4 linked regions of the Drosophila melanogaster genome follow. The protein of the gene in region 2 interacts with the protein of the main gene of each other region in a pairwise test. Each region holds a gene or a part of one and is shown on either strand. Other genes may lie near its edges. The genes, in order: Eip93F, fd3F, B-H2 and X11L.

Evidence for each region.
Region 1: the proteins of fd3F (region 2) and Eip93F interact in a two-hybrid assay, tested with the Drosophila melanogaster proteins (one large-scale study listed by BioGRID).
Region 3: the proteins of fd3F (region 2) and B-H2 interact in a two-hybrid assay, tested with the Drosophila melanogaster proteins (one large-scale study listed by BioGRID).
Region 4: the proteins of fd3F (region 2) and X11L interact in a two-hybrid assay, tested with the Drosophila melanogaster proteins (one large-scale study listed by BioGRID).

What each region holds. Positions count from the first base shown.
Region 1 is NT_033777.3:21,947,497-21,952,113, forward strand, and holds the start of Eip93F (Ecdysone-induced protein 93F), read left to right. Parts: upstream 1-1,617; 5' UTR 1,618-1,906; intron 1,907-2,143; 5' UTR 2,144-2,376; intron 2,377-4,617.
Region 2 is NC_004354.4:3,800,394-3,805,316, forward strand, and holds the start of fd3F (forkhead domain 3F), read left to right. Parts: upstream 1-1,922; 5' UTR 1,923-2,163; coding exon 2,164-3,356; intron 3,357-3,832; coding exon 3,833-3,928; intron 3,929-4,923. Other genes in the region: HIP (Hsc/Hsp70-interacting protein), read left to right, coding at 1-92, 167-358.
Region 3 is NC_004354.4:17,312,794-17,317,621, forward strand, and holds the start of B-H2 (BarH2), read left to right. Parts: upstream 1-1,787; 5' UTR 1,788-2,076; coding exon 2,077-3,118; intron 3,119-4,828. UniProt on the Drosophila melanogaster protein: B-H1 and B-H2 are regulated by members of the wg signaling pathway; wg and dpp. B-H1 and B-H2 are coexpressed and functionally required in R1 and R6 receptor cells and primary pigment cells for normal eye development.
Region 4 is NC_004354.4:17,597,750-17,605,614, forward strand, and holds the start of X11L (X11L), read left to right. Parts: upstream 1-1,858; 5' UTR 1,859-1,930; intron 1,931-2,241; exon of another isoform or gene 2,242-2,672; intron 2,673-3,023; 5' UTR 3,024-3,156; coding exon 3,157-3,555; intron 3,556-3,630; coding exon 3,631-4,170; intron 4,171-4,232; coding exon 4,233-4,346; intron 4,347-4,402; coding exon 4,403-5,344; intron 5,345-5,406; coding exon 5,407-5,722; intron 5,723-5,946; coding exon 5,947-6,086; intron 6,087-6,224; coding exon 6,225-6,230; intron 6,231-6,321; coding exon 6,322-6,687; intron 6,688-6,745; coding exon 6,746-7,222; intron 7,223-7,292; coding exon 7,293-7,433; intron 7,434-7,488; coding exon 7,489-7,560; 3' UTR 7,561-7,865. Other genes in the region: CG12991 (uncharacterized protein), read left to right, coding at 1-177, 262-435, 498-629.

The sequences.
Region 1 (4,617 bases), on a different chromosome or scaffold from region 2:
TAAAACTAAAAATATTTTCGTCTACAATGACATGCAATTGAGTCGCTGCAAGTCGACTCGAATTGCAGTCTGTTCTCAGTCGGTCATTTCCTCAGTTGGTCAGTCAGTCCGGTCGTCAGTTTCCCAGTTGTTCAGTCGCTAAGGTGCGCAATCAGTTCCTCGTTGGGGCTTTTGGTTAATAATAGGTACTCACTCAGTTTCTCAGTCAGTCAATGGGTAATTTTGGGGTTAGTCAGGCTATATTAAAGGCGATTATCTTATGTCTTGACAAAATGACTTTAATATAAAGTCTTGAAGTTCTTAGCAAACATAATTAGCTGGAAATGGCCTTATGAAAAATGTCAAAAATTTGACGATTTTTGATAACTCAAATAAAAATAACTATAAGAGAAGTCTGTGGGTTGGTATAATTTATAAGGCTTAACAAAGGTATTTGGGTTATAGAACTGATACGATTGTTTACTAAAAATAAGCTGTCTACTTTTACGACCCTCGAGTAGTGCACTATAACGATTCCCGGAAAAATGCAACGCTTATCTGGGCTCCAACCCAATTATCGATCGCTCAATCCTTGGGGGTCACCATCCATAGATCCTTTCCCGACTCTCTCACAAAAATCGCAATTCTTCAAAGTGGCAGCCCAAATGAATTATTTTAGTTTTCAGTACGCTCTGGCACTCGACATTCGCACCGAAAAAAGTGAAAAAACGAAAACAATACGAAAACAAAAAAGCTCAAAACCAAAATAAAAACTAAAAAAGTGCATGTGCAACGGTAGCCTACGTATTCCTCCCGCCGATTTCCGCGTGCCCCGCCGCTCCCCCGGCCGAGAAGAGCCTCCGTTGTGGGAAGTGGATGTGGAATATATAGACGTATAGCCGGCTCGGATCGGTTTGCTTCGTCGCTGGCCGCCAGTTGCATTTCGAGCGGTGAGTGAGCGCCTCCAGTGCCGAACGCTGGCGATTCGGACGCGGACCTAAAATCGAAAACCCACCAAAACTGAGGCTGAGCAGAAAGAAAAAAAAAATGAAATGCAAGCACCACTACTGGCAGCGAATCGTTGCAAATTTTTACAAACTCGAGAACAAAATGCTGCTTGAATAAAAAAATATGTGTGAAATTCTCAGAGAGCGTGCATTATGCATATGTGTGTGTGTGAGTGCGAGTCTCTGTGTGTGTGTGTGTGTGTGTGTGCAATTAAAAATTGCACTGTACTTGCTCTTGGCCTTTCCCGCGACTTGAGCGGAAAATCCAGCGCTCTCTGGGCCACCATTTTCTTTTTCTTCGCTTTTTTTCCAACGTCTACTTCTAGCCTCTTGCTGCTGTGGCTCTCTGTTAACCAATTTCGCTTTTAGCCTTTTTTTACCGGCTGCCATGAATGAAGGCACCCATACAGTTGCACGCAAGCCGGCTAACTCGCTCTCCCAACCTCTCGTTCTCTCTCCCTTCCGCTCCCTCTCGCTCTCATTGAGTGAGTTCTGCGAATGCACTTTTTGGCCGAGTGGAAATGCTGGCTTGCTTGTGTGCGTGAGTGCATCCGCTCGTCGAACGCGACTGCAGCGGTCTGCTCAGCTGTGGCAGCAGGCTGGCTTTAGCTTTATTGTCCGTCGGCTCGAGCGGTTCGCTTCGGTCCCGGCCCCGCTGATTTGGATTTGGATTCGGATTCTCGGTTTCTCGGTTTCTCGGCTTCACGCTTCCTCGGATTCTCGGTTTCTCGGATACTTGGCTACTCCGATAGTGGGATATTCTCGCCAGACTCGGCTTCTCTGCGAGATTCTCCATTCTCCTCACTGCCCAGACGGGCGATTCTTGTGCCCGACCGATTTGGGTTCGGATCGAAGGCGGCGTTCGCTGCTGCAGCGTTTGCCGGCGTCGCTGCCTGCGCTCTTGCGTATTAGTAACGTCGGTCTGTCAGTGTCAGTTGTTGTTGTTGTTGCTTGTTTGTTGTTGACGCTGGTCGCGGTGTGCGAATTTTTATTTATTTTCTACTCACACACACATACACAGACAGACACACACACACACGCACACGCACATGCACACTACCTTTAACATGCTTCCTCTTCCCGAGCGAAAACAACAACAACAGCAACTGAGAGAAAAACCTTTAACGTGCGTTTTTCTTATGACAAAAATTTTTTAGTTGACATGCCAGGCCACTAAAAACGAAAAAAAAAAATAAAAAAGTAAAAAGAGCTGAAAATGCAAAAGTGCTGTGACAACCACAAATAAATGATAGAAGGAAAAAAGTTTAATACATTAAAAACAAATACCACAAACAAAGTCAACGTTTTCATCGTACTGCAAAAAAACCACAAATTTTTTACATATTTACATTAATGAGCTTGTAAATATTGGGACGCATTGCCACGAAAAGTGAGTAAGAATTCTTTTTTAATCATTCCATTTATGTACATACATCAGAATGGGGAAAAAATTCATGAGCCAGCACTTTTGGGTTCTTTGTAAACATTACAAAAATTAATTAAATCATGTATGTTTCAATTAAATGTATTTTTTGTATTATAAAAATTGCATTTTGTCCTCACTCTCTCTCTCTCTCTCTTAACGGCTTACTAATTATCCTCAGTGTAGATATTTTCTTATCAATTCGGGTAGCGTATTTTCTGGGATTTCCCTGAATTATGTAGCTCCATTTGCATTATAATTAAATAACTAAGTTTACTAGAACTAACTAATGGGTGATTTATGCAAAAAATCAAATAACAAAATACTTGAGTGCTAAGTGTATAATTTAAATTACCCTGCATTAGTTTACAAAGAACCTTTCCGGATTTTCCCCAACTGCAACAAGTTTTTGAGCTGTATAGTTATTATTATACCTATGCCGTATCATGCATTTTCCAATTGTTTTGGGATCGGTTCCGTTGACTAAATCGGATGACTCTAAATGCCTGTGATTCATCTTAAATGATTGCACTGATTTGCTCACTTTCAAGATGTTCGTTGCTCATAAGAAATAATAATAGATCATTCTAGAATAGGGAATAATTTGATAAGAACTTATATGCGCCTTCGCTAAGTAATATTGAAAGAGGTAATTAAAGTCTTGTTACTCAAATGTATAGCAATTCGCGAAAATCAATCGAGTGTTTATGAAAAGCTGAAAAACTTTCCATCGTCTCAAGAAATCAACACAATTGCATTCGGAAGCCCAACAAGTGCCTCTAATGGGTGTATAGATACCACTGCCCCCTTCCAGCACCATCGTTATATTTGCTTTTCCAAACAATCTGTCACCTACAATGGACTTGAATGGGTTTTCCTTTATGAGGCACAAAAAAAAATACGCGGAAATCTTAACGACCAATTAATGCGCAAATATAAATGTCAACTTGAAATTTATTGAATTTGAATGAAAAATAATATGTATATATAACAATTAAAAAATAAAATAGAGAAAGACAAATGAAGTGGATGCGAATTAAGTGCGAGCGAATAATAAAAATTTCTAATTAATGCGCTTCTAATTTCAAGTTGACAGACGGAAAGCACTGCGCTTGATGTTTTTATTATTATTGTTTTTATATATGTAGATATTTCGCCAAGTGATTCGCTTTGTGCACAATTGCATTTGATTTCGAATAATTCATTTGCGGCGATTTATGACACAGTCTGACTGCCACATAGACGGAAAAAAATAAGACAATGAATCAGTCGATGGTATAAGGGGGATATAAAAGTGGGGGCAGACTGATGTGTCGCCCACGCGTCGCAATTTTCTTTTCACTCGCCGTTGTCCTTGAGGCTTTTCCGCATTTCACGACGGCGACAAGTTTTTAGCTTTAAATTGCCGCCGAGGCGACAGAAGCCAAGATGGATTGAAATTTAATTTCATGTTCTCAAATTGATTTGTGCGGATATCCATTAGTCATCCCGGCTTCTAGCCGCTGGCTTCTGGCCAGGATTAGCATTAGACGGGAGTGCAACAGGCGGGCAACATGCAACACACAGTCATCTGACTACCAGTCTGCCTTTCTTGGTGTGTGTGTATGTGTGTGTGCTGCACGTAAGAAACGAGTTATTGGAACAGGTTCATGACCTTGACCATCAACACAAGGCAGCAGCAACAACACGAGCAACACGGGCAACATCAGCGGCACAACGGCAATTGCAACACGGCCTCCTCATCTCGCCTCCTCCGGCAGACAAAAGGAAGTGGTTGCATCTGCATTTGCATTCGCCATTGTTCGCCTTGGATTGGATTAGATGTTGCAACAACAACAGCAGCAGCAAAAGCAACAGCAACAAGTTGCTGCCACTCCGGGAAGTCGGGCAGTAGTCGCCATGCATTTATCGCTCACTGAGTGAGTGACTCACACTCCAAAAGCCAAAAGGGTCTAGTGGGTCTATGTACATCTACGCTCAGGGAAATGCGTGATTCACTTTTATGGAAACTAAAAAGCCTGCACTTCTGTGAGTTGCCATTATATATATATATCAACTTTTATCGAAATTATGCATGCGTTTTGAGTGAATTTACCGCAACTACGCTTACTTTGAAATAATTAGGAATAAATTCAAAAAGACTACTTATATATTCAGCTTAGTTGTGGTGCTAATGTAATATGCATAATTATATCTCCTCATTTAGTA
Region 2 (4,923 bases):
CTGGAGAATTTTCCGGTGGGAATCCTGGTAACGGAAATATGTCTGATATACTGGGCGCCATGTCAGATCCCGAGGTGTCAGCCGCCATTCAGGTTCGTGAATACTACTTTTCTATTTCTAATACAAATGCAGTAATCATATCGTTGTTATTTATTAACTTTCGTAGGACATTTTGTCAAATCCGGGTAACATCACAAAGTACGCGTCGAACCCGAAGATATACAACCTTATCAAGAAGATTGTGCCCGGTGGAGATGTGGGTGCTGCCTTTGGCCAAGCGGGTGAAAAGGCTGGAAAGCCGAGCGAGCCTAAGCCTAAAAAGGATTCCGCCGACTTCGTCGATGACGGTTTGGACTAAGGTTTAGAAATGGGGCAGTAGTAAGACTGAAACATGCGTCGATAAAAAGAAGTTAACAAACAATTACACGAAATCGAGCGAGATTACAAAACAACAAAGAAAGAGAAAGCAACAGAGTGCGGGGAAGAAGATGGACTACACGAAAAACAAAAGGGAAAGCAACTGCCTTACACATTTTTGCAGCTGGGAAAAAACAAACATTTCCTAAGCTTTAACTTAACCAACACGTAAAAGAACGGGCGACAATGGAGAAAATTCAAATATTCAAAATACTACAAGCAGTCAGAAGAATAAGCAACATTTATTTAAATCGAGAAGAAAGAGATGTTGGAGATGCTGGAGACGCTTCTTCACATATTATTGAAAAGCATACTTGCGGCCATTAAAGTGGCAAATGAAACTATACAAAGGAGCTAGAATATGCTTAAAAACTTCACATTTGCAGTTCACAGGTAAATCAAAAGATTGTCCTGTAACGAACAAAACATGAATGTTTAGACGTCAAGTCAGATTCAAGGGTGCCGATCGATCTAGTTGAACTAAAGCTCGAGAAACAACCAAAAGAAAATAAAAAATATATATATGTTCAATAATATTAGCCTAAATTACCGAGAACGAAGAAACGGATAAAACTAATCGCATCATTTGGTCAAACAAAATTGTACTGAGTAGGATTTAAATCATATTGTATGCAAATGCATTTAGCCCCCCAACATGAAAGCAATCGCCCATTCATTCACACACTCATTCACACACTCATTCACACACTCATTCAACCAGTGATCAATGGAAATAAATAAACGAATCAACAAGAACCCGAATTGCTAATGTCCATATTTTTTGGTAAACGGGTAAAAGGGGAGATACTTTTGCTTTTTTTTCGAGCGGGTTGAACAGATGGAGCCGTAGTCCCTTAAACTATCCGGCGCATCACCTGTGTGGGTTGCTCACTTTGTATGAAGTACATTGGGTACGCATGGTGTATGAAAGCGTCGATTAGACGCTTCAATGGCTGCACCCTGCACCCTGGATCCAGAACCTATCTACCGCACCCCGCCCCATGTCAGCGCGAAATTGGCTAACGGACAGCTTGGCGCACATGTTCGATTATGGCCAAATCGAGCGACCAAGCAGAACCAGCGGCACATGACCTGGGCTCAGCGATGCCAAGACCTGGGTGGTTGTACCTAGAGGTACTTGATTGCTTTTTAAACTCAGCTTGGTACAGCGTACACGACTGATTATTTAGAAGCTATGACAGCTTTCTTTGCTTTGATATTTTTCATATTTATATATAAATTATAAATATATATTTATAAGCAGGTGATATGGTTGAAACATATATCAACGAATATGTCAAATATAATACAGTGAAGTGTCTGCATTATTTTATTGTACCTGCGCCATCACAGGTACGGCTCCTCTTTCCATCGACTGCAGACGTACCGCTTATGTGCATGACTGGGTGTCCGGGGTGGTGGATGTGAATGTGGATGAGTGGCAGGAGGGCGCAGGCGCAGCTCAGCCCAACAGCCAAGTTGGTCTGGACTCCTGGCGGCCCATCGCATTCCGTGGCCAGTCGCAGCGCGAGACGGTTAGCCAGTTAGCCAGTGCGGACCGACTAATTCCCAATTTCCGCTCTTGACTAAACTAAAGATTGAGAAATAAAGAAAGAAATATCCTTCGTCCGTCCCCCAGACGAAGCAGGTCAATTTTTTTTTCGTGTTACTTGCTCTTTTTCGCCAAGTGTGAGTTGTGTGTTTTGGCTTGGCTAACGTGATTGAAATCGAGACAGCCGGGACATCATGATTGTCAACATGCCCGTCAATGGAACGGGCAGTGCATCCAGCCCAACATCGAATCCCAGCAGCAACAACAACAACAATAGCAGTACCACCAATCAAAATGATACGAACACTAATCTTCCCGGTGATTACAACTTTCTTAAGCGCAAGTTCGACGATCAGGAGGATTTGGCTTTGGGCCACGACTACGAGCCCATCGGGGCAAATCCCTGGAAGAAGCGACACTTGGACTACGATGCCGGGGACCTGCACTTCCACCTGCAGCTGGAACAGCCACCTAGTAATCCGCCAACCAACGCTGCACCCGCCCAATCCTCGACGTCCTTCATCAACGATCTCTTTTCCTATGAGAGCAGTCTTCTGGTGCCCGCCGTCGCCTATTCGCACTGTCCACCATCGAGTGCTCCATTGGATGACAATGGTGGTTGGACCGGTGGCGAGCTGCTGGAGCTGGATCATCGTTATAACTCCGGCCTGCAGGCGGAACTGGGGCAATTGAATGCCACTTTGCCGCCGCCACCACCAACATCATCATCAGCTCAAAATGCATCCAATCATACGCAGCAGTCAACACAACAGAATGTCAGTCCTGGTCAGAACCCACATCAGAATCAACATTTTCTGGTGCCGCAGAAGCAGCGGATACAGTCGGCGGGCCGACGCACCTCATCCGGTTCGGTTAGTGGGGCCAATGAAGCCACCGAGGCGGACTTCGAGGATAAGAACCTCTCGTGGCTGCTCAACTTTAAGTTCGACGAGTTCCCGCACCTATCGCCGCACAATCAGATTCACGGACAGGCGGTCAATCTGCCGGAGGGCAGTGCTCCACCTCATCCACCATCGACGGCAGTGCCGATCGCCACGTCGCCCTGCAGTTCCTCCTCGCCATCATCCGCCTCCGCCGCATCGGCATCCGCATCCGCCATAAGCACAAATCAATCTCTCGGATCGGGTTTGGTGGATCAACGGGCCAGATCGCCCAAGAGTTGCTCCAGTGCAGCGATGCCAGCGGCATTAGGAGGAGGAGGCAACGGCTCCGCTGGCGCTTCAGCAGCGGGGGGCGTGGCCGGCGTGGGCTCCACCAAGACTGGGCGCAAGTTCGAGGAGCTGGTGATGGAGGTCACCTCGGAGTTGGACGGTAACGACATGATAGTTGCCGAGCACGTTGTCGTCGAGGATACTTCGTCCAAGGCGTAAGTGTTGCAGAAATAAAACAATATGACAGTGTCAACGGTTAAATTCTATATTTCCTAATTTATTTGAAACATCTATTTATTCCCGTTACTCATAGAGGAAAAGGGTATACTAGATTCGTTGAAGTATATATAAAATTTGTTGATCAGGATCAATTTTTAAATTTTTTTCTCATTTTATTCCCCAATATCTATCGACATCCCAGAAAGATGATTAAATTTCGCGTTCGCATTCACACTAGCTGAGTAACGGGTATCTGATAGTCGGGTAACTCGACTATAGCATTCTCTCTTTTGTTTTAATATATTTAACAATCTTTTTCTCTGATTTGTGCGTTCTCCATTTGCTTTCAATGCCGTCCTCCAATCGATGCCGCCAACGAATTTCCCCAACCACGCAATCGCCGATCCACTAAACCACCGAACCACCCACCAATGTGGCTGAAATCCAAAACCAACCACCGCAAAACAAGCAGGCCAAAGAAACCACCGTTCACCTACACGGAGCTCATCGAATACGCCCTCGAGGATAAGGGTGAGCTGACTGTGTCGGGCATATACCAATGGATATCGTAAGTACTGTCCCCCATCGAACCACCCACTGAATCAACCACCACCGCCCACCGCCCACCGCCCATTCGGATGGACGCCATTTTGTGGAGTGCTAGCCATCCTGTTATTTTTTTTGATGGCAAAAAACGCCAGCCAGGATGCAATTAAACAAATCTCAAGCATTTCGTTTTGGCCATTCCCGTTGGCCATTTGATTTCCTCGTTCGCTGGGTATTTCTTCTTACCATGTTTTCGTTCCTTGGTTGGTAACCAAACTTAAACAAAGTGCCACACACCGGCAAACAAACGATAGCGGCCACAATGAAAGTGCCAAAAGTTAGCAGCTCAAACAGATTTATGGGCTAGAAAATTGCATTTACCTTGCCTTCGCTCGCATAAGGTGAAAAACAAAAATGTTGTTAACCAAACTATTTGCGGGTTGTTCAACAAGTTGTTTATGCCAAACTGGTATTCCCTGGTATTATCAGCTTATACGGATAGCGACCCATTAATTTTGGCTTTTGGATTGTTTAGTGGCAATTGTTGAGTATACCAAATTCTTAGTTTTATGGTGATAAGTGCTTAATACGGCTCATTCCGTATTAGTTAATCATTCAATAGTATTCAAAACTAGTTAATCATTACCTACTTTTCGCAAAACGTTAAAATTTTCAAAATTCCATTTTTACCACGCTGAGTTCGAAAATATCAATTCGTCAAGAATCGCTGACGAAGAAAACAATAAGTTTTAACACATTTTTCAAGGTTCATCAATTTGGCCTTTCGCCCCCACTGCTCCCCACCTGTTTTTTGTTATTCATTTCTTTTGTTGTCTTCGAATACCCGGAATCAGTGTAAATATTTGATGCCGCAGCCGCGAATGTTGCGTGTAAATATCCTATATAAATTTACATATAAAACCACCCCGCTCGGGAGGGGGAGGCAAATAATTTATGACATTTGCCCATCACCTGCGCACCTGCACTCCTCACCACCCCCCCGCATTTAATGTAATG
Region 3 (4,828 bases), about 14 Mb from region 2:
AAGAAAACAATTATCAATAAGTAAATTACATAAAAAAAATGATAAGTTTATGTTCATATCTATTAATGCTATAATTTATATTACAGGAAAATCAATCTCATGGTTTATTCAGAGGCAATACAAACTGTACCCAATGATCCCGGTCACGTCTTCGTTTTCCTGCTCCAGCCCGATCGTTTGTCAGGTCGTAAATGCTTGGGATATATCTATGATTACGATACTCTATTCCTGGAAACGTTTGGCGACAGGAACTCGGATACATACCAATGGCCAGTAATACCCGACAATTGCTGCCGTGAGGCCATTTTGAAAAGCTAACTATACAATAAACATGTGGCAGCGGGAGCATCCGCCTCCAGGCGCCAAAGACTGCCTCCTCGAGTAGCTCCTGCCCACCGGAGCACGCTTGTTAGTCCACAGGAATGAGGTGGTAGGAACCCCCAGTGGTATACAGCCCCCTCTTGGATAGCCACCCCCCCCCTGAGACCCATTCACTTGCACATTAGGCAGCAAATTGACATCGATACAAGAAGTAAACCAGAAGTGAGTGGAAAGAGAGGGCACTATCGCGTGCGACAGAGAGGAAAGCGTGCAGCATTTAACTGCTGCCAATTTACTGTTTAAATGCCAAACAAAAAGTGTTAACAAGCGCAAAAATAACAAAAGACACCAACAACAAAGTACGCAGAGCGAGAGGGCCCGAGGCGAGCCACAGGCGGCCAGCCCTTGGGCCAAAGCGAGACAGACAGATGTCGTGCCGGCTGCCTCTCGCTCGCACAAACCAGTTTAAGGGGGCGTGGCCTGGCCACAAAACAGGGTTGACAGCATCCCATCCATCCATCTTGCCATCCGGATATCTGTCCATCAGATACAACAGCAAAAGCAACATTAGAAGCAAAAGCAAAGGCGGCAGCTGCCCTGCTGCCATAATCGTGTTGAGTTTCAAGCTGCCATAAAAAGTTTATGGGAAGTCGTATTGAACAGGGAAACCTTCTAAAACAGTATGATTTTGCTACTGCTGGAGGCATATTGCATAAATGTTCTGTCATTCCTGTACAAACTATATTTAGTTGGAAAGTTAGATAACAAGTTATTAGTATATTAAAGATGCATGGCTACATATTTTTTAATAATACTCGCTATTATAATAAAAGTTTACCATTAACACTGTTCAAATTTTGTTTGAAAGCAGCTAAAATAATATGAAATAACCAACTGACCCCTAAGACTATATTTAACCCTCAAAGATAACGAACACGTTTTTGTTCAGATTTATAGAAATCAAATAAGTACAAATAACTTTTTATATAAATTGACAAGACTTAATAAACCCTATTTATTTAAGGATATGAAGTTAATTGCAATACTTTTTGTGCGGTTGTAGTTCGAAACAGCCAACTCCACCACGTGCCATAAAAATAACCGTTAGACGTGCGGCCATTGCCGGCGGAAAGTCACCACACCCGCCAACTTGAGTCCCGCTGATTGAAGCCTAATGAATGTCAATTGCTGCCAATTACGACCAATAAGTGCGGGCAATAAATGTGGGCAGCCGTGGGTGCGAGCGAGAGGCAGTCGCGGGGCGACAGAGAGGGAAACTCACCACACCGCCACTTGGCCAGGTCAATGAGCGAAAAAGAGACGACGACAGGTGGCAGCTGATGGGAAGCGGTGGCTCAACTGGTTTTTGCTGCCTTCTTGTTGTTGCTGCTGTTGCCGCTGCTGCTGTTGTTGCTGCTGCTGCTGCCAGTTGCTGTTGCTGGCAGCAAGTTTCAGTTTCGGTCGAAAGCCAAAGGCGAGCGGTTGTTGCTCCGCTATTGAACATCACAAAGTGTGCGCACCTCAGCGACATTTGCGTTAAAAACCCAGTTGGGCCAAGAAAACATTAACCAACGCAAGAGCAATCGAAAGCGGAGTTCAAGAACTTGTCAAGTTTAAGAAATAAGTGCGAGCAGCTACCAACAATTAACTGAAGAAGTGCTAAAAACTCGCGTCACCCATACATACATACATAGCTGTTTGTTTTTTTTCGGTGCAAAGTGCAGGTGCAGCAGCGGAGTCGTCGGCTAACCACACATGACCACAATGCCACCGGAAATGTCCGCAACAACGGCAGCTCCCGTTGGCAGTGCACCGAGTGCCACCGCTCATCATCCCGCTGCCGTCGGCGGCGGTATGCCGCGTCCAGCTTCCCCGGCCGTCGGCAGCAACACGACGACAGCCACGGCCACAACGGCGACGCGATCCCGCTTTATGATCACCGATATTTTGGCAGGAGCCGCGGCCGCATCGGCGGCGGCAGCAGCAGCGGCGGCCGCCTTGGCAGCCGCCTCTTCCGGCGGTGGGCGTGGCAGTCCGACGGACTCGGAGCGGGAGCAATCGCTGGTCGCCCAGCATCACCACCATCACCAGCAGCAGCAACAACACCATCATCACCAGCAGCAGCAGCAGCAGCAGCAACATCAGCAGGCTGCCCTGCAACAGTACATCGTGCAACAGCAGCAGTTGCTGCGCTTTGAACGGGAAAGGGAGAGGGAGCGGGAGCGGGAACACTATAGGGAGAGACATTCGCCGCCTGGCAACAATCCCTATGCCCACCACCCCATGCCGCCCCATCTGCTCGCCCACTTTCCGCCCGCCCACTACGCCGTGCTGCAGCAGCAGCAACAGCAACAGCAGCAACAGCAACATCCCCACCCGCATCATCTGCAGCTTGAGAGGGAACGATTGGAGGCACTGCATCGGCATGGCCACGGGCTGACCGGTGATCCTGCCCAGCACTTGAGCCACTTAAGCCACCTGAGCCACCAGCAGCACCATCCGCATCTGCATCATCCCATGCACGATGAGCGATCCCGGTCACCGCTGATGCTGCAACAATTGGGCGGTAACGGTGGCAATAACAACAACAATAACAACAACAGCAGCAGTGCCAGTAACAACAACAACAACAACAACAACAGTGCTAGTGCCAACAGCAACATCATCAGCGGCAACAGCAGCAGCAGCAACAACAACAATGGCAGTGGCAACGGCAACATGTTGCTCGGAGGACCCGGCAGCAGCATTAGCGGCGATCAAGCCAGCACAATCGACGACAGCGACAGCGATGATTGCGGTAAGTCGCTGATCATATATCATAAACATACAATGAATCTGTATAGCAATATGGTTTAAGCTGTATTTCAAGGATAAGGCTACATCGGGAATATATAAAGTATATATATATATATATAGCAGAAATAATTAAGTTGCTAACTAAAGGAAGAGACTAGTTCATGAGACAGACATACAGATTCAGATGGATCTTGAAGAATAGCACCAAGTGCGGAATATATGTATATGTATATAGACACTTTATTGCAATATCAAGTAATATGAGAAGAGCAAAGCGGGGATACATATAGAGAATATATATATATATATATATAGCAATATGATATTTGTGATATTTCAGGGACTGGACTGGATGGGAAAGTGAAATCTAATGAACAACTGATATTCAAAATAGCAAGAAAAAAGAAAGACAAGATATAATGCGAGATATAAATGTTTCAAAATACCAATCAAGGCTTTTTTATACGTGTTCCTGACGTACAAATTAAAAGCAATCAAAATCTAGCTAATATATATGTATTTAAGCTCTAGTAAATTTGCATAGAATATTAAAGGAAATAAAGGAAGCTAGTAATTATAGTATACAAATTGCCATTAAAACCAGTTCTATTTATAAACTTTACCAAAGTTCAGCTGTATTAGCTATTTTATTAAACGAAAAGGGCTTTTATGGCTATAGAGAATAGAAATTATTTCATAGTATGCACACCAATAAATGTTAGCTGATAAATTTGATTCGGTTGGTATTAATTTGAAACCCAAACGGTGGACTTTTGTTTATACACTGAAGGGGATCTCGAAACCAATTTACACCTATCCATCTGACCCCTGAGTTCGCACCACTTTAAATTTACGATTTTCCCCGCGACCGGGATATATCATATATTGAGTGCTAAGCGTGGTTGTTTTTCCTGTTGTCTTTGTCGTTTTTGTTGTGGCTGTTGGCTAATAGATAACGGCCAACAACAACCGCACCAACAACCACCGTAAATTGTGCGGCTCGAACGGGGAAAATGCTGGCTTGATAGGCGAAGACTCGAAAAATACAGGTGAGTTCGAGTCTGAGGCAGGTGTCTTAGGTTTTGTCTCTCACTCTCTCTTTCTTCCTCTACCTGTATATGTCTCTCTTTCTGTTTTTTCCTTTTCAATCCCCCCCCCCCCCCCTCAACTTATTGGCCAGATTAGCCAAGTGTTCGCTTATTTTCAACATATTTCCCAGTCAAAACTGTCAACAGAATACCCTTGACTGCCACGCCCCCCGCGTGCCGTCAACCTTGTTTTGCATGCAACAATCTAATTGATTTTGTTGCCTAGCTTTAGTTTTGCTTTTTTCCTCTCGTTAAGTGCTTTTAAACGATATGCAAATTATAACAAATTACTATTAAATAGCCGTAATCGTGCGTTTGCAATTGATTTGCAGTAATATAATTTAGAAAGGCCGAGAACGTGCACAAATATATATGTATGTATTTGAAAGAGCATGGAAATCAGAACAAAAGGTCAGAATGTTGAGTTTGCTACAAAAGATGTGTGTGTGTTTTTATTATAGATTTTTTACGAAATCCCAAAGGATGATAAAAATGAGTTTCCACTATTTTTGGATAACTAAAATGCCGAGTAATTTTAGTTATTTTAATAATTGCCCGGTCTCAATTCAGTTTTTTTTTTGTTAACGAGAAATTATAAGCCCCTAAGCAATTTTGTTTCAATC
Region 4 (7,865 bases), about 14 Mb from region 2:
TCCGCGGAGTATAAGCACATCAATCGCTACATCAACTTCTCCGGCGACACCAAGAGTCTTCTGACCAGATCCGCCTCCGCGGCGCCCAGCGTGGCGGGGGGCGTGGCCGGATCCGGGTTCTACGACGGAGGCGTCGGCGACGAGGGCAATATCTCATCCGAGGCACTGGCCATTCAGGTAGGTGAAAACTAATCATTGCTAAATTCGATATCATTTGAAAAATTGGTTTCAAAAGTAACATGCTTTTTTTTCCATTTCCAGCGAACGTACTTCCTGGATGCGGGTGCCATTTCGGCGATTTGCTTCACTGTCTTCGGCGTCTGCTGCACAGTGGGCACCATTGGGATCGTACTGTACCGTCGTCGGTATCTGAACAAACCGCAGGCGCTCAGCGAACCAGACTCGAGTGTCTATATCGATGATAGCACGATGCGGGTGAGTGTAAGGATTCGTTGACCAATTGCCAGTGGCGCTTGAATGTCCTATGCACTAAATAGTTCTCTCTCTTGATTTTGCAGGACAATTCGGATGAGATGTACAGCCTGGACAACGACTCGTTTCTCAATTCGCTGGAGGCGATGACAATACAGAACTACTGGACGGATACGGTCAAACATACAAAGCTTTAATCTCCGGCCTTCCCCGTTGGAAGTCCAATCCCCTCTATCATTTATTGTACGTCTTTGGTTCGATTTCGATTACGATTCTGTTTCGTTTCGCTGTTAAAATTCCATTCCTGATTTGACAACCAGACATCATAATCATTAAGTAGCGTAGTTTTTAAGCGCGTGTATGTATTTACTAATGTTAGGCAACCAAACGAGCAACTAGTTTAAGCCCAAAACTACCAAAATTATGTTTAGTGTACGTGTAGATCCTAAGTGCGCAATGTTTTTGTTGGCCTTGACTGTTAGTTAAAGCCTTTCCCTAACAACTTCCCCACTAACCCGATTTTTGTAAACCAACCCATTGTACTCGTATCTGTTAGTTAATTATTAAACCTTATTTATATTGTTGACTATTTTATCGCCCTTCCCAACCCAAGTCTAATTTTAGAAAACACTATTTATTAAGTTTCCAACTTTGTGTCCAACAATTAAATGCAATCATTCCTTCCAGTTTAGCCTATAGAGCAACTTTACACTGTAATTAATGTATTAAAAGCGAAGCAAGCAAACAACAATTAAAAGAAAACATCACACAACCACACACCGGTGTTGCTAGAATTTTTGGGAAAATAATCCGTGTCTAATTCCTAACTTAATTCATTAAGTTTTCGATGGAAAAACAAAACTTGCTGTTAAAATTTTAATTGCTTGATAAATCTTGAACGAACGAATTATTATCACTGAAATTCTGGCAAGACTGCAAGAAATTGTTTCAATATACACAAATATATAAAACGAATTATAAGCTAACGAAGAACAAGAAAAACTGTTTACTGCCACACAATCCTTGTCAATTTTGCTCATCGAACTTTTATACACCACTTGTACTTGTACTATCCGTTCGAATGTTGCAAATATTAAACGAAAAACAAAACCCAGATGGAGTACATTAATCATTAAATGCTAAACTGATATTATTCGAAAAAGTGTTATCAATTGGCGCGGGAAATTCATCGTACAAGGAGTGTTGGAAAAGTAGACGGTACCGCGTAATTAGGGCAAGGTACAGGAGAAAGGGTAAAGTCAAGTAAAGCTGGGGTGGAGAAGGAAACATATTTAAATATGTTTAAAATGGCTTTTAGCACCTACTTAGGTACGAATTGAATAGTACCCTCTAACGCTGCTCAACACTGTCCGGCTGTTCGCTGTCGATAGCAATCGATAGGCCATCGATGTTCTAGCAGAGACTATCTATATTGCTGCCAATCGCTCTGCGCCAATCGAGTTGCTGAAGGAGTAGTGCAATAAATATGAATTAAATGGTAAATATAAAACCGCGACAGGTGTTGTTTTCGTGCCTATTTGCTGGCCGTGTTGTTGTTGCCGCCGTTTCAGTTGTTGTTGCTCGAGTGCGCTGCGTGTGTGCGTCGTTATGCGACGAGTGTGTGCATGAGTGTGTTGTGTTGTGCGGTGCCCCCACCAAAAAATAACGAAACGAAAAGCAAAGGAGCTGCAAAAAAAATACGACAAATCTATTGATTTTTAACAATACGCACATGGATAGATACACATAACGGTAACGGGGAGTTTGTTTTTTTCCCACGCCTCCAAAGTGCTGAGTGATTGCAACAATCGGCGACAACAAAGGGCTAGCACCAGCACCACCATCGCCCCCTGGCACCACCCACTTGCACCACCCACCACACATCCTTCAACCTTCGCGTGGGTGGTTGTTGTGTCTGGCTGCAGCTTCCTGCGTTTGTTTTGCCTGCGCGAGGACTTTTGGAGGCCAAGTTTACGTGTGCGCAATCAACCACGGACACGGTAGCTCCGGAACTCGGAAACTCGCAAGCTCGGTCAGTGGCAACCGCGGCGGGGGGCCCTAAAAAAGGTGTCCACATATAGACACATGGACAGGCAATAGTGGGTTAATTGCCCGCATTGATTGCGCTGGCCAGCCAGGGGGTCACCACAACCAGAGGTTACCAAACCAGTGCAGCAACAAACCGAAGCTCGAAACAATGGAATACTTATTATTAGCTAAACTCAATTACATTTAACGAGGTGAGCTAGGACCTGTAATAAGATACAAATACACATGAGAATGATTAGGGAATGATTGGGGCAAACCCAATTTAAAGCAATAGGCTTAGGTCCAAAAATAACAAATCAGCAATTTTATAGATTGGCATTTTACTGTGCTGGTTCCTGTTGTCCGTATCGCGTATGTCTAAACACACCCGGTAATCCAGGTATTTCTATGTCGATTTAAATATATAGTACGCAGCGGCAAGGTATCCAGCAAAAGTACGTCATCGACACGACCACCTGTCCCTGATTTTTTTCTGGGCTGAGCTGCAGCGCAGTGAATCATTGCCGCCTTAGATCATCGACTAATCATCCATTCTCCCCCAGGCAGTGGCCCACAGTGAGGCAGCAATCGCAGCAGCAGCAGCGGATGCAGCAGCAGCAGCACTAGAGCAGTAGTTGTAGTAGTATCGAAGCCGCAGTCCCTCATACCTGGAGAATCAAAGTTGTTGGTGCAGCCATGAACTCAAACTCCTGCAGTGACAGCAGTAACGAGTCCATGGTCAATCCACCGCACATACAGATGAACTTTGGCCAGCAGGCGCAGCAGCAGCAATCGCATCAGCACCAGCAGCAGCAGCAGCAGCAGGAACGTTATGTGTGGGAGATGCGAACCCGTAGCCCAAATGTGACGCCAGCCAGCACGGTGCTCAATTCGCCGGATCTCAATGGCGAGCTGTCCTACGTTCCGCTGCAGGGTCTTTCGCCATCGGGCGGAGGTGTTCAGGGATCCGGCAGCTATGGTTCGAATGCGGGACGCGATTCTGGCAGCTATTACTACCAGCGACCGCAGTTGCATCAAATCCGACTGGGTAGGAGTCCGGGCAGCCAGTTTGAGACACGGGATGTCCTGCCACAGGTAATTTAACTTGGAGAATTACTTAGAGGCGTAGTTTCAGTCACTACAATGAGATTTTTCTGCTTTTTCTTTAAGGGATTGGCCAGCCCCGGCTCACCAACGGATGTGGGCAAGGCGGACGGTCAGTGCCTGCGTGATGGTGAGATCGTGGTGTTCGACGACATTGACACAAACTGGATGAACAAGGCATCGAGTGGCCAGCGTCCAGGCAGCAATGAGGATGTCCTCAAGGTGACCAAAATGATTGGACAGCTGCCAATAGCCGAGTACGAGGGTTCACCGCGACGATTTGGAAGTCAACCGAATACAAATACCATTACCATGGGTGGTCCTAGAAAACGTCCGCCGGGTTTCCCGCAAAGAGTTTCGCCCACCACCAGTGTCGCTAATAATGCAACTGCTGCAGCTAAAGCATCCGTGGGCAACCTTATCGATTTGGTCGACCACGAGGAAGAGCGTTCCGGGACGCTTCGCGAGAAAACACCTACTTTCGACTACCTGTACGAATTCTCAGAGACCAGAAAGGTGCTGGAGGAGTTCTTCAAGGCGAATCCGGAGGACGAAAAGCGGTACACGGATTACACCACGGAAAGTGGAGACGATGTCGCTAGCTCGGTGAGTACTACTACTTCCAAGAAGCCTAGAAACCCATTTAATATTGCATTTTGATTGACTAGCAGCCACAAGAGTACCCAGCCACGCCCATGGAGCAGGCATATATAGGACAGCGGTTGGCGAGAATACCTAAAGATGAGCTCTACATGGTTCACCGGTCGCCTACTAAAAAGCCAGTGAGTCATAACGAAATGAAATTCATTAAAATAGCTAACGATTGTTCGATTTCTAGCCCAGTGACCAGAATCCATCGACGGCCTACCAGGAGCATAATGATATTGAGCTGTACATTGATTCGAATAGCCGAAGCAGCGGCGATTTGGCGGACACCGAACTGGAGGCAAATCTGCGCCGACACTCCCGAAACTTTACCCTGTCTCCCGAGACGACGGATTACGATTCGAATTGCGGTGATTTGGACAGTCTGTCTAACGACATTAACTGCCCCACGGATTTTGGTAAACTGTATACGAGCATGCCTGTCCTAGAAGATGGCCTGAGCAGTGGCCACGCCTCCGACACGGAGAACAACGTATCCGTGGTGTGTGACAAGCAGCAATCGTCCCAATCTCAGCCCGTCCACGAGCACAACGGTAATGGCGAGCGGCTGGAGAACGACTACAATGTGATGAGCGCCAGCTTGGCCACATTGACCACAGATGCCTCGCAATCGGCGCTGATAAGCGACTTCGCCTCACTGCCCATGCCCCCGGCTCCGCCTCCATCATCGCCGCCCCAAATCGAGATCGCCGATGCAAGTGAATCCATGACCATGGTCCCAGATGCTGATAATCCACTGGACAGTCACTACGGTGCGGTTTATGCAGCAGCTTTGGGAGGTACTCACACAGAGAAGTCAGCGGGATCAGGACTGGGGGTGACACCAGTAACTGCGGGAGGATCTTTGCCATCGCAGGCTGCTTCGGAAATCCAGGAGGCCATGAAGGAGATACGTTCCGCCTTGCAGCGTGCTAAAACGCAGCCTGAAAAACTAAAATTCTGTGACGAAGTGCTGCCCACGGATCCAGATTCACCGGTTTGGGTTCCACGCAAAGGGACGACGATCTCGACGGCCCAAGGTGCGGCGGCGGATGAGGAACCAGACACCGACCTTGAAACAGATCGTCTATTGGGTCAGCAGAGGCACGATGAGCAGGATTTCTTCGCCGATCAGGTGAGGAATGCAAACTTACAGAGATATCAGCTCAAAATAATTACGAAATAATAATTTTACAGAGCCTGGCTGATAACAATGCCAATGAGGGCACGGATATTGCCAGCAATGGGCATCTAAATGGCACGTCGGACAACAACAATCCGAATCCTATGAATAATAGCAAGCCGCAAACCTACTCGACGGCCACCATTCGACAAGGCATCGGCACCTCGTTGACACCCAATTCGCCGGACATCTGTCAGATTGTGGGCACGACCGACATCTCCATAAGCTCGCCGGAAAAACTGCAGTTCACCAAAAGTCCCACGGGCTCTATTAAATCCCTGAAGGACTCTGCCAACTCGGACAAGAAGGCCAAATCGCGGAACAAAGAGGGTAAGTTAGCACAGTTGTCAACGCCCCTTGTTGTTCGTTTACTGATATGGAAACCGATTCAACATTTCACGCTGCAATTCAAATCTATTTAATGCTGACATCACGTAAGTCTCTGTTACCCAGCAGATGTTTAGGTTTATTAAACTACCCTTATGTGTATTAACAATCAGAAATGAAGACCATTAACGCACTTCGTAACTAATTTAAATAATGTTCGTTCTTAGGTCTCTTGGAACCCAAAGTTCTCATTGAGGGCGTGTTGTTTCGGGCCAGATACCTTGGATCCACTCAACTTGTCTGCGAGGGTCAGCCGACCAAGTCGACCAGAATGATGCAGGCCGAGGAGGCCGTTTCCAGGATCAAGGTAAGTGAAGTGAAAACCTGGTGATGCACACGAAAGCACATCCATTCAAGGAAACCCCGCTAGGTTATGCTCTATGTGTGTGTCTAAAAACTTTCTCGTTCGCTTTTCTCGTTCCCTGCTGCGCATTCCTCTCGATAGGCTTTGGTAAGCGTTCGTTAGCCCCTTTCAGTCGTCAAATGATAGCATTAAGAATTAAATGCATTATATAATATATGATTTGCTATTTTTTTACCAGGCTCCCGAGGGCGAAAGTCAGCCGAGCACTGAAGTGGACCTGTTCATATCAACCGAAAAGATAATGGTGCTTAACACGGATCTCAAGGAGATCATGATGGACCATGCGCTGCGTACTATATCCTATATAGCTGACATTGGCGATCTGGTTGTGCTGATGGCTCGTCGTCGATTCGTACCGAATAGTGTTGTGGATCCATCGATCACCAGTCCATTAGGTGATGTTCCCACTCCGGGCATAGGCGAGGAGGAGTCGCCCCCCAAAGAGCCACTCAGCAAGCACAATCGCACGCCCAAAATGATCTGCCACGTGTTCGAAAGCGATGAGGCGCAGTTCATAGCTCAGTCCATTGGACAGGCCTTCCAGGTACGCGAATATTAATAATATTATTGGCACGTATAATTAACAATCAAAACCTAACCAGGTGGCCTACATGGAGTTCCTGAAGGCGAACGGCATCGAAAACGAGAGTCTGGCCAAAGAGATGGACTACCAGGAGGTGCTCAACAGTCAGGAGATTTTCGGTGATGAGCTGGAGATCTTTGCCAAAAAGGAGCTGCAAAAGGAGGTAGTTGTGCCGAAGGCGAAAGGCGAGATCCTAGGCGTGGTGATCGTAGAGAGTGGCTGGGGATCCATGCTGCCCACCGTGGTGATTGCCAACCTGATGAGTTCAGGAGCAGCTGCCCGCTGCGGCCAGCTGAACATCGGTGACCAGCTGATCGCCATTAACGGCATGAGCCTGGTGGGACTGCCGCTGTCCACCTGCCAGAGCTACATACGCAATGCCAAGAACCAAACTGCCGTCAAGTTCACCGTTGTGCCCTGTCCGCCTGTCGTCGAGGTTAAGATCCTGCGTCCCAAGGCGCTGTTCCAGTTGGGTTTTAGTGTTCAAAATGGCGTGGTAATTATAAAATGCTGAATTTATTCTTCTTATTCTAATCCTTCTAATCATATGTATTTATTTAATGCAGATCTGCAGTCTTTTGCGTGGAGGAATCGCTGAGCGGGGTGGAGTACGCGTAGGCCACCGCATCATTGAGATTAACAACCAGAGCGTTGTGGCCGTGCCACACGATACCATTGTCAAGCTGTTGTCATCCTCAGTGGGCGAGGTATGACGCGTTTTTAAATTCGTTATTCTTATATTAACAATACCTTTCCAATCAGATCCTGATGAAGACAATGCCCACGTCCATGTTTCGTTTGCTCACCGGTCAAGAGACGCCAATCTATATATAAATATATATGCAACTGTTCACACGCCTACGCTGGAATCGAAAAACTATAAATTCGTCAACTGCAACTTGACCAGCTTAAAGTTACATCGATTCGCAAAGAGACCTTAAATTGGAATTTGTTTAGTCTTAAATTGTTCATTGATTATTTGTCTTTATGTATTCACATTGCAAGCATAATTGTAGTTAATTTAAATGAATTGCAAATGTATTAAGTCTACAATGAGATTAATTGTTCGTCGTCAAATCGTTCAGGTGTCCACAGCGACCACAACTGCAATAGAGAGATTACTATTACTGGAGTTACAG